Diceros bicornis minor: one gene and its partner. The protein of the gene in region 2 purifies or fractionates together with the protein of the main gene of each other region. This does not show direct contact. Links are inferred from orthologs where the notes say so. Each region holds a gene or a part of one and is shown on either strand. Other genes may lie near its edges.

The links. Proteins that work in one complex are often made in the same cells at the same time.
Region 1: the proteins of SCLT1 (region 2) and KIZ purify together in Homo sapiens (co-immunoprecipitation; 3 studies listed by BioGRID and IntAct, counting the BioPlex papers as one, with this or other methods). This does not show direct contact. The link is inferred for Diceros bicornis minor from reciprocal best matches to the Homo sapiens genes SCLT1 and KIZ.

Annotation. Positions count from the first base shown.
Region 1 is NC_080758.1:47,603,266-47,611,337, forward strand, and holds the start of KIZ (centrosomal protein kizuna), read left to right. Parts: upstream 1-4,959; 5' UTR 4,960-4,974; coding exon 4,975-5,063; intron 5,064-8,072. UniProt on the Homo sapiens protein: Centrosomal protein required for establishing a robust mitotic centrosome architecture that can endure the forces that converge on the centrosomes during spindle formation. Required for stabilizing the expanded pericentriolar material around the centriole.
Region 2 is NC_080750.1:21,309,982-21,317,873, reverse strand, and holds the start of SCLT1 (sodium channel and clathrin linker 1), read left to right. Parts: upstream 1-4,684; 5' UTR 4,685-5,147; coding exon 5,148-5,181; intron 5,182-7,892. UniProt on the Homo sapiens protein: Adapter protein that links SCN10A to clathrin. Regulates SCN10A channel activity, possibly by promoting channel internalization.

The DNA of each region.
Region 1 (8,072 bases), on a different chromosome or scaffold from region 2:
CAAATGGTAAGATTTCATCTTTTTTTTTGACTTAGTAGTATTCCATTGTCAGACATCAACTCTTAATCTCAGAGTTCCAGGTTTTCAGTCTCCTTCGCCATCTGGATAGTCACATAAATCCATTGAAAATGTTGTAGAAAGTTGTTTTGGTGCATTTGTGTAATTGTTGCATGGAATGTTTGTGTATTAGTCAGGATAAGTATGCCAGCTGCTGAAACAAACAACCTCAAAATATCAGTGGCTCAATATATTGAAGGTTTAGTTCTTGCCCAAGACACAGTTCTGTGCTCTATGCTTTGCAATCATCCACTCTTCTTCCAGGGCCTCAGAGTTCTCCATTGGATCCTCTGCATCTAGCTGGCCAACTAATGAAAAATAAGGAAGAGAGTGCAGGATGTTTGGAGGCCAGGCCTGGAAGTGGCTATATCACTTCTGCTCATACTTCATTGCCAGACTGGGTCATATAGACCCATCTAACCACTAGAAAGGATGAGAAACGTAGTCTTACTGAGTGCTAAGGAGGAAAATTAACAGAATGGTGAACACATAGTGTTATATCACAGCAGGTAAAAAATGCATTCTATGTCAATGAATATTATTCCTCAAATAATGAACCATGTATATGTGTAAACCCTTCTGGGTCACAAAATATATATTTTACACATCTCATACAAGGAAAATAAAAAATATCAGTAGCTGTCAAATGATGAGTTTCAAGGCCATATAGAATGGAGGATAAGAAAGGATAGACTTTGGATTTGGAAAAGATCTGTTTGAATTCTAGCTCTACCACTAGCTGGTCAAGAACATACTGGCAGCATGATCTTAGGCCAGGTGCCCTCAAAGGACTGTTATTGGGTTTAAATAAGGCAATAAATGCTTATACTGGTGTAAATGCTCAATGGGTGGAGGGGTTCCACATACATATTCATGTGGCATCACAGCCTTTCTCCCTACTTTCTACTTTTGAGTCATCTCTACTTAAAAGTGAATTTTCTAATAGCATAGGATGCAATGTCAAATATTTCTGAATAGTGATTGCAAAATGAAATACTTTCCATGTTCATGTCTGTTACAGGTTGAATTGTGTACCCCCTAAATTCGTATGTTGAAGTCCTAATTCCCAGCACTCCAGAATGTGACCTTATTTGGAAATAGGGTCATTGTGATATAATTAATTAAGATAAGGTCATACTAGAGGAAGGTGGGCCCCTAATCCAATATAACTAGTTTCCTTATAAAAGGGGAAATTTGGAGACACACATGCACACAGGGAGAATGCCATGTGAAAATGACTTCAGAGATCGGGGTGATGCACCTCAAGCCAAGGAATGCCAAAGATTGCTGGCAAACTTCCAGAAGCTAAGCGAGAGGCACGGAGCAGAGTCTTCCTCAGAAGGAACCAACCCTGCCCACACCTTGATCTCAGACTTCTGGCCTCCAGAACTGTGACACAATAAATTTTTGTTGTTTAAGCCATCCAGTTTGTGGTACTTTATTATGGCAGCCCTAGCAAACTACATAATATAATATCCAAGCAGTTATTGACTCAAATATACAGGATTTAATTTTAAAATTGTGTGGTGTTTACATTTTAAAATGTAAAATTCTAATTTCAACATATTTCCAAAACCAATCTTCCATTCATTGATCCAACTGTTTCTGAGCTACAAAAACGGCAATTTCATATGGTTCACCCAAAGAGCCATATGTCTACTGAGATGAAACACTGGCTTTCTTTACTCTTTGCCTAATGGGGCCATTAGGGACCCATCTTTGGAACTAGACTCATTAACATTACACAGATAATCAGCTGTGACCCGGGCCAAGTCCCTTACCTGCCCTGAACCTTTTTCTCCTCTAAAAAAACAAGGGGGTGAAGCTAGATTCCCTCTAACTCGCAGCTAAGACATTCTGTAGCTTATAAGAAGACTTGTCCATCTAGGCAGACTTCATGGCCTGTGGTCCAGGAAGTACAATCAGAGCTGTTTACAGAAATCAGCTCTGCTAATATAAAGGGATTTAAGAACAATATTAAAAGGGAGTGCTCCAGCAAATTAAATATTCAAAGTGAAAAACTCTGCATTTAATAAAAGTCTGTCACCATTTAGAATGCATAATTTTAGCATAAATACTCTAGAAATATTCATTTAGTTTGCTATGTGTTATTGTTAATAAAGAGGGTCCTGCATTTGGATTTGTCATATGTCATTAATAAATCAACCATAGAATGCAAATTTTAATTATTTTGAATTATCTATTTACTGTTTAATTATATTTAATTTTAGACTCTCCTAAAATGGCCTAATAAAAATTTGGGATGCTAAACGATGCCTCACCTGGTTACTCTATGTATTTACTGAAAATAATTAGTTACATTAATTGTTTGGGGGATTTTTTTCCCTTAGAAAACTAATCTGGGTGAGGGGAGACCTAAATAAAATATGCTAAAAAGATGCATTTTTTTTTTTTTTTGCCAGGGTTGTAGTACAATGTTGTTTGCACTAAAATCACTAAAGTAAACCTTTGTACACTATGTGGAAATTAATAAACATAAACCTGACTAAAATGGAGTCAGGTGGCCAAAAGGGGGAGCTCTGACACCCTATGAAGATAGCAGAGCCCAATAGGAAGAAGAAAGACTTCCTCTTCTTGCCAGCAACAGCTCAGCCAATGATAGACTACCACAACTCAGCCAATGAAAAGCCACTACACTTTAAACTCCCAGTCTCCTCCTCTTTGGAGGACTCTTTGTTTACATTAGCCCTCCCAACTTCCTCTTCCCCTCTATAAGAGTTTCTCCTCCCTTTTCTGCAGGACTTGCAGGTGGCTTGACATGGTTGTAGACCTTAGATTGCAATTCTTTGCTGATCCCAAATAAACCTCTTTGTGCTGGAGAAATAACTGGCTGTTTAAGGTCCACAACTACCATGGAATCAATTTGGTATAATGATTTGATATAACTAAATAAAAGTAACATCAGGATTACCCTTAGACCTAGGCAAGAGGGCCCCTACCCTGGCTTCTGTATATTACAAAGCCTGTTCTGGCCCTTTTCTGGCCATGCCATTCTATGCAAGGCAAGGAGGCCCAGGGCCAGGGGACATGCCTGCCTAGAGTGCGCTCTCTCTCTCTCTCTCTCTCTCACACACACACACACACACACACACACACACACACACACCCCATTCTGCAACACATTCCAGGTACCTATCACCCTGACAATCCCTGCTCAAAGGGCCCTAACCTCCTTTCTGAGGCCCTTAAAGACCTCTTTCCTGGACCCTTCCTGCAAGGGTGACTATCACTTCCTGCAAGGTGCTCGCCCTTAGGCCTGAGGAGTGGCCAAGAGGAGGCTGAGGTGAGGATGAGGACAGAGCTAGGACTTGTAGACTGGGGTGGCGGCGTAGGGGAGACACACACATCCCTGCCAGTGTGTGCAGCCCCTCACAGTGCAAGACTGGGCCCGGGGCGGGAAATAAAGGAGTTGGCTGGGGAAGGAGTCAGAGAACTAAATTTCCCTCTGGCTTTCCAGGTTCTTATGAAGGCACATTGGCCAAGGTAGGAGGAGAGAACATATTTTATCTACAAATTGTCATCTTGATTTATAATTGTTTAATATTTTGACAGATGGTATGAGGGCGTCCATTCACACTCTTGCCCTGGCCCTGGCAAATGTGAAGGGAAGGCTAAGTAACATTATAATTTTATATTATCGACCTTTGAGTAGTCCATCTCTCTTGCTAATGATTGATTTACTAGTTTAAGTCACACCTTGCAAGTAAGTGAAATTAATGACTGAGAAAAGAAACCAAAAGAAATGAAGAATAAGAGACTAAAGAAACTATAATTTCTTTTTTTCTGCCCTGCAGGTTTTGGAGTATGGTTGGCTTTCTTCAGGAAGCTTTTCCCCCAAGTTGGTGATGATGTTGATAAAAACTGATGCTTCCTATGTGCTGGGCCCTCTTCTAAACACTTACACACGTTAACAGATCTAATCTTTATAGCAATGGCATAGCTAGGCCCTGCAGTAACAATCTTCCTGGTTTTACAAATAAAGAACCCTGGGCTTCAGGAGGGTGACCTGCACTTGGTCACACAGTTGGGCAGTGGAAGAGGGGATTTGAGTCTAGGCAGCCTGGCTCAAGTCCCTGCTACAGGATTCTATATCTGCACAAACAAATGTCTGCTTTGCAAGCAACTTGTTAGCAACTTTCCTCTCCTCACCAACTAGTAATGTGACCTACAGCATTAACCACATCCTTATGGTCAGCACGGATTTACAGGTAAGGGATTGTTCTGCTGTCAGGGCTGAACACAGTTGCTTACAATTTTGTCCTTTTTTGTGGTGTTTTCTTTTGCTTTTAAGTGCTGGTAGGAAACCAAGCTTAGCACAGTGCGTGGCACTCAGCATATCCTGGGGAGAAGAGAGGGAGAGGTGGCGGGAGGGAAAGAGAATGCATCTTGCAAAATTAATGTAGTTTCATGCCAGGACAAAAAATGATCACGTGACTTGCTCCCAGCCACGCTCCATCCTTTACCCATGGTGGGGATCAGGAGTGGTCTTCTGACTGACCCTCAGAGAACGGCTCCGCCTGGAGGAGGACCAGGGTCTGTCCCGTGAGAGTTCTGAACGGTTAGGGAGAAGGAAGACGCCAGTCTCCGGCAGAGAGCCCTGGGCACCCAACCCCCAAGGACCCCTGCCCATCCCGCAGCGTGCAGCCTGGGCCGGCTCCCCCCAAGGCGGCCGTCAACCTCTCCCACGACACCCCGCCTCCGCCCCGCCCCTCCACGGGCCCCGCCCCTCCACGGCCGTCTACCCCGCCCATTCACGGCGCCCCGCCCCGCCCCCTGCACAGCGTCGGGGCGCCATGTTCACCCGCGGTGCATGGTGGGGCCGTCGCCCCCGACAACCCGCCCCTCCCCTCCGCGCGCTGGCCCGAAGCGGCGCGGGGCGAGCGTGGCGGCGGCGGCATGCCCCAGGCACCCGCACGGTCCGCGCCCCTGGCGAGCCCCGACTACTATGAGAGGCTGGGCCGCCTCCAGCGCGGGCTGCGGGACAGGTACGGCCTACCCGAGGCGGGGGCGGGAATCGGCCGGCGCCGAGGGTCGGCTGGTGCCCTGCCCTCTGTCCTTCCCACTCGCCCCGCCCGTGGGTCCCCTGGGCCTGGGTCCGCCCGCGACGGCCCCCAAGCTCCCACTGGGGCCTGGAGGACAGAGTTTACCGGAGAGACCCCCGCGTTGGAGATCTCCCGCTGGAGGACGCGGCCGCGTCACTGAATTTGCCCGGAAGTGGGAGTAGGAGTTCTCCTGCCTGTCACTCTCAGTCAAGCCTCGTGAATTTCTCTAGTTCCTTTCTACACGCCCCCTCCGCAGTCTCTTCAAATTGTCATCCCACCCTGACAGCTGCACTGCATCAGTGGTGACAGGTCCAGGAACGCAGGCAGGAGAGTGTGTGTGTGTTTGTCAAACATATGCCCTATTTAAATGCGGGAGACTTTTTGAGGGCCATAGTTCCAACGAAGGGATGAAATTTGCAGACAGAGAAGTCCAGCTTCTGGAGTATTCATGATACCTTGATTAAGACGTGGAAGATGAGAACCGCTGAAGACAGCTAGATCTAAGAGCACATAAAGAAAGAAAATTATAAAGCACTTTGCTATAAATAACCACATAAAAGATAAGTTGTTGGAACTATTATTTAGCTGCTAAATTAATTGGTGTTGGAAATCTCATTAGTTGACAAGAAAGGAAATAGATGTTTGGATCTCTTGATAAACAAAAGGTTTAATGAGTGTTAAAGTTGCAAAATCATTTTAGTGAAGAGAGCTGTGTGTGTGTAACAATGCTAAAATGACAACAATAGTTACGTGTAAGGTAAAGGCAGAAGTAAGTGGTTTTGAAAAGGAATTATATTGGTTTTATGCTACATTTAATTTTTGTCAAATATTTATGGAGCGTCTACAACAGTCCTCCTGAATTGTCCTCACCGTATTTTACTCTTTAATCTTTTTCTACATCCTATTTTCTTTCTGACATACCGCCGCTCACCCACCCCAGGAACCTCCTCAACTCCAGCTTTTGAAAAATTGCTTCCTTCAGTGCCTTCCCTGCACCAAGTATTGATCAGCCTGTTCCCTAACTTATGCAACCTCGGCATTCTTAAAGGACTCTAGATAGTGGCTTGAGTGACTTGCTCCCTGCCTAGATGGAGAATTCTAGGAGCTCAGAAACCATATCTAGCTGAAGCTTTAGCTGATAATAGAGTACCTTAGGTGGAGGAGGGACTTGATATATGTTTGTTCAAGGAATGGAAGAAATCCCACGTCAACCAGCTAACGTCCAAGAGGTGTAAATGTCTTGTATAGAACACTAGCCACACATTGCCACTAAATAATGACCATGTTCCAGTCAACCAGGAAGAGTGGACAGTGTGATATTTCAAAGATGATATTGTGTCTGCGTATACTTGATAATTAAAAGACAAGACATTGCTCTGTGCATCAGTACACTTAAAGTGCTTTTTTTTTAAAGAAAAAAACCCAGTTTCTTTAATGTTGTTTGTTATGTTGTGTTTAAAATGAAACCATTGGGGCCAGCCCCATGGCTTAGCGGTTAAGTGCGTGCCCTCTGCTACTGGCGGCCCGGGTTCGGATTCCGGGGGGGGGGTGCACCGACACACCACTTCTCTGGCTGTGCTGAGGCCACGTCCCACATACAGCAACTAGAAGGATGCGCAGCTATGACATACAACTATCTACTGGGGCTTTGGGGAGAAAAAAAAAAGGAGGAGGATTGGCAATAGATGTTAGCTCAGAGCCAGTCTTCCTCAGCAAAAAGAGGAGGATTAGCATAGATGTTAGCTCAGGGCTGATCTTCCTCACACACACACAAAAAAGCCATTATATAAGATTAAATACATTAAAAGAAATCACCAAGGGGAAGAACAATAAGAGTAATAAAATAATTTTGTGTGTGTGTGTGTGTGAAGATCAGCCCTGAGCTAACATCTGCCAATCCTCCTCTTTTTGCTGAGGAAGACTGGCCCTGGGCTAACATCCGTGCCCATCTTCCTCCACTTTATATGGGACGCCGCCACAGCATGGCTTGACAAGCAGTGCGTCGGTGCGCGTCCGGGATCCGAACCCATGAACCCCGGGCCGCCGCAGCGGGGCGCGCACATTTAACTGCTTGCGCCACCAGGCCGGCCCCTAAAATAAATTTTAAAATTTCAATTCTGCTCCAAGGTTCCTTAACCATTTTGAAAAACTAAAGTTTGGTTTATAGATTCAAACCAATTTAAGCTATTGTCCCATCCCCAAAGTGAAATCTTATACTGAAGTCCAGCTCCAAGTTAAAAAGCAAACAAACAAATAATAAAACAAATTCACCTCTGGGTGTGGGTGTAATTTTTTTTCTTTACATTTTACTAATTTATTTTTATTGAGGTCACGTTGGTTTGTAACATTATATAAATTTCAGGTGTACATCATTATATTTCGACTTCTGTATAGAGTCCATCGTGTTCACCACCCAAAGTCTAGTTTCCATCCGTCACTGTACACATGTCCTGCTTTACCCCTTTCACCCTCCCCACACTCGTCTTCCGCTCTGGTAACCACCAATCTGTTCTCTGTACTGTGTGTGTTCGTTTTTTGAGTTTTTTTTTTTTTTTTTTTTAACTGCTTTTTGACTCTGTTCTGTTAGAATAGTAGCTTAGTTACCCCAGGCCTTTAGTTATTTGTATCTCTTAGCCCAAGTTCTAAATTTTAAAATGTCGCTGGTTCAAATGGCATTCTTTTTGAACTAAGTTAATTGTAAGTTATCATTTTTGCTTCCTGTGCTAGGAACACCTGGCTGTTTATAGTCCTTATGGTATAATAACTGTGTAATGATTATTACTTAATGTTTAACACTTAATGCTTTAACTATTAAGCAAGGTGAGGCTGTTGAAATTATATAAGGAATTTGAGTCAAATTTTATAGCCTATTCATGGTTCTGCCTTTGGAGGTTGGTTTTATTTTTAAGTCAGTACAGATCTGTTGCTGTGTGTACTCATTTTTCATTTTAA
Region 2 (7,892 bases):
TGCCTCTTTATACTTTCTTAAAAAAATGTTTATTGTTCACCTGTATTTTTTCACATTTTAACCTCTATTCTTCACATTACTCTTTCATCAAAAAAAGTCAAAAAATAATTTTTTTGTACCTGCACAATGGAAAGACCTTTAAAAGGAAATGAAGGAAGAAAAAGGAGACAGAACCCGGGAGCATTAAGAGCCTCCCAAAGGAAAAAAATTGCACAAAGGTTAAAAGAAGTAAGTTACAGAAGAGGTGTTTTTTCAACAGAATGTTTTGCAATGAAAGTGTCCAAATTCCTGTATTCATGAAATTTTCTTTAGTTTCTCTACAAGAATTATTTCTTTTCAGTTTGCATCCTTTCCCCACCCCCACTTCCACCCATTTATAAGAGAAACGGAGAAATGAGGAACTCAGCCCGAAAGTGAGAATAGCTGTGCAGCAGCAGGAGGCAGCTGAAAAGTAAGTTACCAGAGAAAAACCAAACGACAAGCCTGGCCGAAGGTACAAGGAATGAGAGAGTGGAGAAAGCGTAACAAGAAGAGAACACAGACCGGCAAGGTCTTCTCAGTACAGCAGTTGCTGGCTCCTTTCTGCCGAGGTCACTGGAGCGGGCTCAGCCTTAGGCTCCGCCCAGCTGCCCACAGGTTCTGGCGGAGGGATTTAGACTGCTGCAGAGACACCTGACTTTTCCTGGAAAGAAAAATGTTGAAGGACCACCGATGAACATCTGAAGACTTTTAATCACTCCACTGAAGTTTTTCTAGGAGGAGAATGAAGGGTAACTCAGCAATATAAATACTGTGCAACAATTTGAAAATTAACTGTAGATCCTTAAGACTACAATAGAACATGTACAGCAATAATTCACTTAATGCAATGAAAGGCTAACTGGCTATATAAGCAAAAAGTGTAAATTATATTATACTAGCTGTAAATTATATTACCCTAGCTGTAAATTATATTACACTACTGGGAGGCGGTTAACGACTGTGATGCTGGGACCAGAGTGCCTGGATTCAAATCCCAATTCAGGCACTTTCCAACTGTGATCATCAGCCAGTTACTGTAAAAAGGATTTTAAAATATCACCTACCTTAAAAGGTTTTCGTGAGGGTTAAATGAATATACATATATATATATCGCATTTAGAACAGTGCCTGGCACATAGTAAGTACTCAAAAAAGATTAGCTCATTATTAAAGTATATAGGTTTGCCTAAAAAAAAAATTCTGTTTAAATTGTTATAATTACATGTTTCCAAAGCTGTTTTCTTATACAAAACTAGACTATGAGACAGGATAGTCTAACTGACCCCTTGAGATCACAAAGTTTGGTTAAGTGTTCTCGAGATATACAACATGGTTCTGGTTGGTTCGGTCTTAACTAGCCTGGCAGTTCCAGCATTTATCAACCTATTTTCCTTCATTTAGTATCTCTTTCACCCGACAGTGTGGACTAATCATTTCTACATAAGATTAGATATAAATTCATAACATAATCATGTGTAAAGTTTTGAACTTCTCAAGAAAAGGTAATAATTTACAGAACTACAATATTTCCAAATAATAGAATCACACTGTATTTTGGTTGCTGGGAGTTACCAAAACTTCTATAGGATCTGTGCATTTAATTCAGCAAGGAGTCACTGCACCTGAACTTCGTAGCTACTTTGAGAATAGTGTGCACATTCTACATCTTTAAGTTACCACCATTTTCTTCCAATATGCAAGAGCAGATATTACATTGGTGTGTTGCCATTATTCAAATATTTTCAGGTAAAGTATTAAGTGAAACCACATTAAGTTGCAGAAAATTGGCAATTTCACATGGTTCAGCCTAAATATATTCTGCTTACAACATACTTTTAGAAACTTCCTTGCGGGAAAAACAGCTTTTGTGTTTGTTTTACCAAAATGATTATTTTTGGTTTATAAAAATCACTTTTGGTGAGAGAGGGAAATGGGGAGTTGTTGTTCAATAGGTATAGAGTTTCAGTCATGCAAGATGAAAGAGTTCTAGAGACCTGCTGTACAACAATGTGCATATAATTAACAATACTGTCTTGTACGCTTAAAAATTTAAGACAGTAGATTACATATGTGTTTTTTTCACTATAAAAATTATAACAGGGGGCCGGCCCCGTGACATAGCGGTTAAGTGCGCGTGAGCTCCTCGGCTGGCAGAGGGGGTTCGGATTCCGGGGACGCACCTACGCACTGCTTGTCAGGCCATGCCGTGGCAGCATCCCACATAAAATGGAGGAAGATGGGCACGGATGTTAGCCCACGGCCAGTCTTCCTCGGCAAAAAGAGAAGGATTGGCATGGATGTTATCGCAGGGCTGATCTTCCTCACACACAAAAAAACTATAATAATAAAAAAAGACAAGCTTAAAAATAGAGCTCCAGTTTCTAGGCCATGCTTCTCTTGACTGGTAAAATAAACACAATTATTAAGAGTTTTTAAAAATCACTTTTTTTATGGCATTTAATTATATCAGAAAATGTTAAGTACAGTTTTGACCCTACCTTAAATTTCCAACTTTGTATTCTTCATGATCCTTTCCACATAGTACTGGGGGCTCAAGGTCAATTTATTGAAGACATTCATTTTAGTGAAATCTATCAATTTTCAAGGGTTATCTTTACTGTAGAAATATATCTAATATAAAAATATGAAATAGTGGCTAGAAAACGGTTAAACACAGACTAAGACTTTTTTCTCTCACTTCTCATTCCTTATACTCAATTACACTAATAGATACCTTCCATGCACATTCACTGAATTCTTTAAATACATTTAACTTAAATTAATTAAATTAATTCCTTCATCAGATATTTATTGAGTCCTTATTGGGTTCCAGGTACTACGATGGAGCCTGGAGACAAACTACAAAAACCACATGATAGAGACTGCAGGAAGAAGCATGAAGTACTAAGGAAGTACCTACCTTGGGGGAGTGGGTAGAGAATACAAGGGAAGCTTTAAAATCGAGAAACACTAGAGGGGATACTTTAAGTGGAATCATAAAAATTTTGTTTCTTAAAGATGAAAATTATTTTGAAAATACTCCATTGAAATTCAAAAATTCAACGAGTAAAATCTTGTAACCAAAAAAAAAAAAAAACCCAATCCCCAAAACTATAGTTTATATTGAACTTGACCATATAAGCCAAATAATTCAAGTACAGAGATAAAAATTCCAATTTGAGATATTTAATTTATACAATGCAAAGACCACTCATCATTTATATCCAGAAGGTAATTTGTGCTTTTGCCAACACCAATATATCCTATCAACTTTTAGTGTAAATGTAGAGTTAACGTTTATAAGTACTTGTTTGATGCCAAGTTAAATCACAATATGACAATATACAAGGTTCAAACATAGAAGAAGGTACCAGCAAGTCCCTGGGGACTCAGTGAGAAGTTCTTGAAGAAAAAGTCATACACTGACCTTGTAAAAATAGTTGGAGCTTGCACATTCAATTTTTCCTTCCAACAAGTTTTTGTGTTAACTTCATGGTCACTAAAAACAAGATCAAGTTCAATCATCACTGACTCAAAGCTAAATTAAATTTTTTTATGGTTATTAGATATACCTCCATATTTAACAGCCAGTCTTTGGAGGAAGAGACCATCTCATTCTTAATAGTGAGTATGGAGAAAGCCCGTAACAGAACTTTAAATACCTAACTGGACAGAGTTGGACCCATTTCTAAAATTTCTTAATACATTCTGCTAACATTACTTCATTTATATAACATTATGAGTACAGGACAACAAAACTTAAACATAAAGAGAAAGCCAAATCAAGCTATATCTGTGACATGTCTGTTTAGTGAAACTACTTCAATCCATAAAAACATATAATCTATTTAAAAACACTAAAACAAGTGGCTAGCTTCAAGTTAACATTTTTATTGCTAGCACTGAAATTTCCTCCAATGTTAACTGTTTTTAAAAAAAAATAAGATTTAAATCCAGACAAAATCAATTTTTTAAAATGGGAATTGTTATCCATCCATAAATGTAAAGTTTTGCCTAATTTTTTCTTGCAAAAAATATAGCTTTTGTTTTTCCTTCTTTTTGAGGAAGCAAAGTTATCTTTAAAGAAATACCTGCTGAATTTGCAGGATCTTTGGAGTACTTCTACTCACATGACTTATTGCCACACAGTCAAATATTTAAACAACAACTGTCTCCCTTCTCGAAAGACCCACGAGGGGCAGGACCGTACTTAGCTTCTGGAGATTACCAAATCCACACTCAGAAATCCTCCAGGACAGCCTTGGTGGTGGATTCTGAAGACGCCAGTCTGGGTTCTGCCCCTAGCCACACAAACCTTACATCCTTTTCACCTACCAGGGGGGTCTCTCAGTCCAGGAGTGCTAGGTATCAAAGATACTGGGGGCATTTAAAACATGTATTTAATCCCTACCTACGTTTAGATTTTTCGGGTTTCTTTAAAAAAAAAAAAGGCGCATGGCTGCCACCATGTCCGCCGCCACTCTGGCGGCTCAGACCGCTGTCATCCAGGCTCGCACAGCTCCGCCCATCGCTTGACAGATAGCCAATGGCGTGCGAGGACTCTAGGAAGCGCGATGACGTAAGCGCTGACGCCAGCGTGATGACGCAGGCGGCGTCACCGTCTCCAAGGAGCGGTCCAGGGCACCGGTTTCAAAGTCGCAGGGCGGGCCGAGTGGACTTCCGCTCTTGGCCCCGGGCTTCCCGGCTGTCGTGGAGTCGCCCCCAGCTCCGTGAAGGACGCCGCCACCAGGCTGCCCGCCGGCTTCCTCTGCGCTCTCCTAAGTGGCCCGACACGACCCCGAGTGACCCGCGGGACGCCTGTATCCACTCGCGTCCCCGTCCCACCCGACTGGGATTTGGGTGATCGTGGATCAGAATTCACTTGGCAGGTCCCCAGCAAACCTGAAATCTGAAGTCTCTTGCCTGAGCGAGGGAGTCGGCTGGGACTCGGGAGAAGGAGGCGCGGCGGAGCTGTTGACGCGGCGTGAGTGGGATGCCGATTACACCGTTCGAGTGCTTGACAACCTCCGGAGCGTTGCGTTAGTTTTGTTTTCCCGCACAGCAAGCTCTGTGTCTTTTTGAAGAAAGTAAAGGTGGTGAAAGCTCCAAACTAAAATTGTATCGAAATGGCCACAGAAATCGACTTTCTGAGAGATCAAAGTAAGCTCCTTATTTCTTTATCGAGAATTTTTATATGTGATGTTTAGTGTCGTCATCGTTGATCAACTAATATTTTTTGAATGCCTGTTGGTTGCATGGAAATTTGTAAAAACTTAAAGAAGTTAGCTGCAGAAAAAGCTTGGTGGCATATATGAGGATGTGTATATACTTTAACCAGAGCTGTTTGTAAGTACTTGTAGGTTCCTTAAGCGTGTTACATGGGACTCTGCTAGACACTAAATATGTTTGTTATGCTCCTCGCGTGCTCTGGATAAATTAGAGGACTAATGGCAAGGAAGAGTTTCCAAGCCTGCAGTTAGAACACAGCTCTGGCCATTTGTTCAAAAGATGTTTATTGAGCGCCTCCTGTTTCTGTTATGTGCCAGGGGCTAAACAAACATAGCTACTACAAAGATGAAGAGGATGGTTCTACTCTCCAAGAATTTAATTTGAGGAGGGAAACATAAATTCCATAAATCACTGAAGTAGCAGCAACTGCTGACTCTTTTGCCTCGGTTTCCTCATAGGGTTGTCGGAATGATTAAATGAGTATTAAAATATGTAAAGGATTTAGAATAGTTTCTGACGTATAGTGCTAAACAAGTATTACCTGTTACAAGATTATTATTAACTATGGTCAAGGAAGGTGCTGTTTGGGCTGAAACTTGAAGTACTAATATAAATTTACTAGATAAAGAACTTTGTAGGCATCCCAAATAGAATAGTATTTGTAGCATTGAGAGGATTAGGAATATGCTTTGTTCAAGACTTGCAGGAAGGTTGGCTTGAGTGGAATATGGTTTATTTATGTAGGCAAATGGCAGGTGTAGCTGAAAGGGAAGAACAGGACTAGATGATGAGGGGCCTTGTCTGCTATGTGGTTAAGGAGTTTGGACCATTGCACAGATTATAGGAACCACTGGAAGGAATTCAGTTGAGTGACATGATCAAATTGTGATTTGGAAAGTCCGGTATGGCTGTTAGGAGGAATGTGCATTACAGCAGAGTGCAGTTAGATGACTATTGTTATCATCCTGGTAAAAAGTGAACTAAGGTAGGTATAATGAGATTGGAGATTAGGGGATCTGAATGAAAGGTAGAGGGCAACTTCAGTTTTTGGCTTGAGCAACAGGAAAGTTAGGAAAAAAGTGGTAAGTTCCATTTTGGAAACATTATAGATCAGTGGTTAAGAAGTCAACCTCTGGATTCAGTCTGTCTGGGCTCATATCCTAGCCCTATCTCTTTCCAAGTGTTTGACCTTGGGCAAGTTACTTAGCTTCTCTGTGCCTCAGTTTTCTCCTTTGTAAAATGGGTAGAATAACACAATAACCCTCTTAGAGTTGTTGTGAGGATTAAATGAGATGATGCAAATAAAGCATTTAGCATGGTGTCTAGACCATATTAAGTGCACACTATATGTTATCCAAAATCGTTAATGATAGCATTAACGTTAGCATTATTTCTCAGGTTTGAAGTGGGAATATCCCCCACCCCATAAGGAGGATTAGCTGACTGCAGTCTGAGTGGTGTGGCTCAAGAGTTGGGTGATGAGGGATATGGTTGGGGTGGGAAGAGTACCTGAGGCCGTCAGAAATGATGAGTTTTAGAGAGAAATAAGCCAGCCAGAATTCTTAGATAAAATTGAAGTCCAAATCAGAGTGTTGGAACAATAGAAACATAGTAAATTATTTCTTGAAAAATGAGTGGTAGTTAATTGGAAGACAAGTGGAGAGAGAGAAGGGAATCTCAGACAGAGGGAGCAGAAGCAGCGAAGGCTCAGAGGCTTGAAATGACAGTGCTTATTCAGGATATTGGAGCATGGAATGTAGGGTTTGCATGAAGAGATGAGAATGAGTGTTGGATGTCTGTGACCCTCCCCTTTTTTCCTTTAACTGGACCTAGCATGCCGGTAACAGCTGGTCGGTTACCTCATTAGGTGAACCACCTAAACACCAGCTCAGGTAAATATAGATGGCTTGCCCTTCTCTCACCTACCTTTGACCTTCTCTACTTTGACTTCCGTTGATCTTGATTGCCTCTTTTCATTTGTTCCATTTGGATTTGGTAGCCGAGCTCCAGACAATTTGATTTGGTGCTTCTCAACTGGCAACCCTTCTGATAAAGCATCAGCTTTGCGCATCATAACCACAGGCAATTCCACACCCAACCAGACTTCTAGTAAACTTCTAGCATTTTTGCAGTACGCCATTCTACCACCTCCATCTGAGAAGGGAAATCTGATAGTCCTTAGGGACCTGTTCAAAGAGGGACTCCTATAATTAAGCTAAGGAGTGAAGAATTCATTCTTGTAGGGAGGGTTATGGGTGGTGCGGATAGACTCATTTTTTCTTTTCATTTTCTTGACAGTGTCTGTCACAGAGCAGGAGTTTGTAAATTTGGTGATGTTCAATTTATCAGTTTTTTCTTTTATGGATGTGTCATATCTAAGAAATCTTTGTCTAACCCAAGGCTGCAAAGATTTTATTCAAGAAGTTTTGTAGTTTTAGATTTTACATTTAGATCTATGATCGATTTTGAGTTAAATTTTGTATAATGTGCAAGATAAGGGGCAAATTTCACTTTTTTGCATACGGATGCCCAATTAAAAAGACTGTCCTTTCTCCCTTGAATTACCTATGCACCTTTATTAAAAATCAGTTGTCAGATTTGAATAGGTCCATTTCTGGACTCTATTCTGTTCCATTTATCTG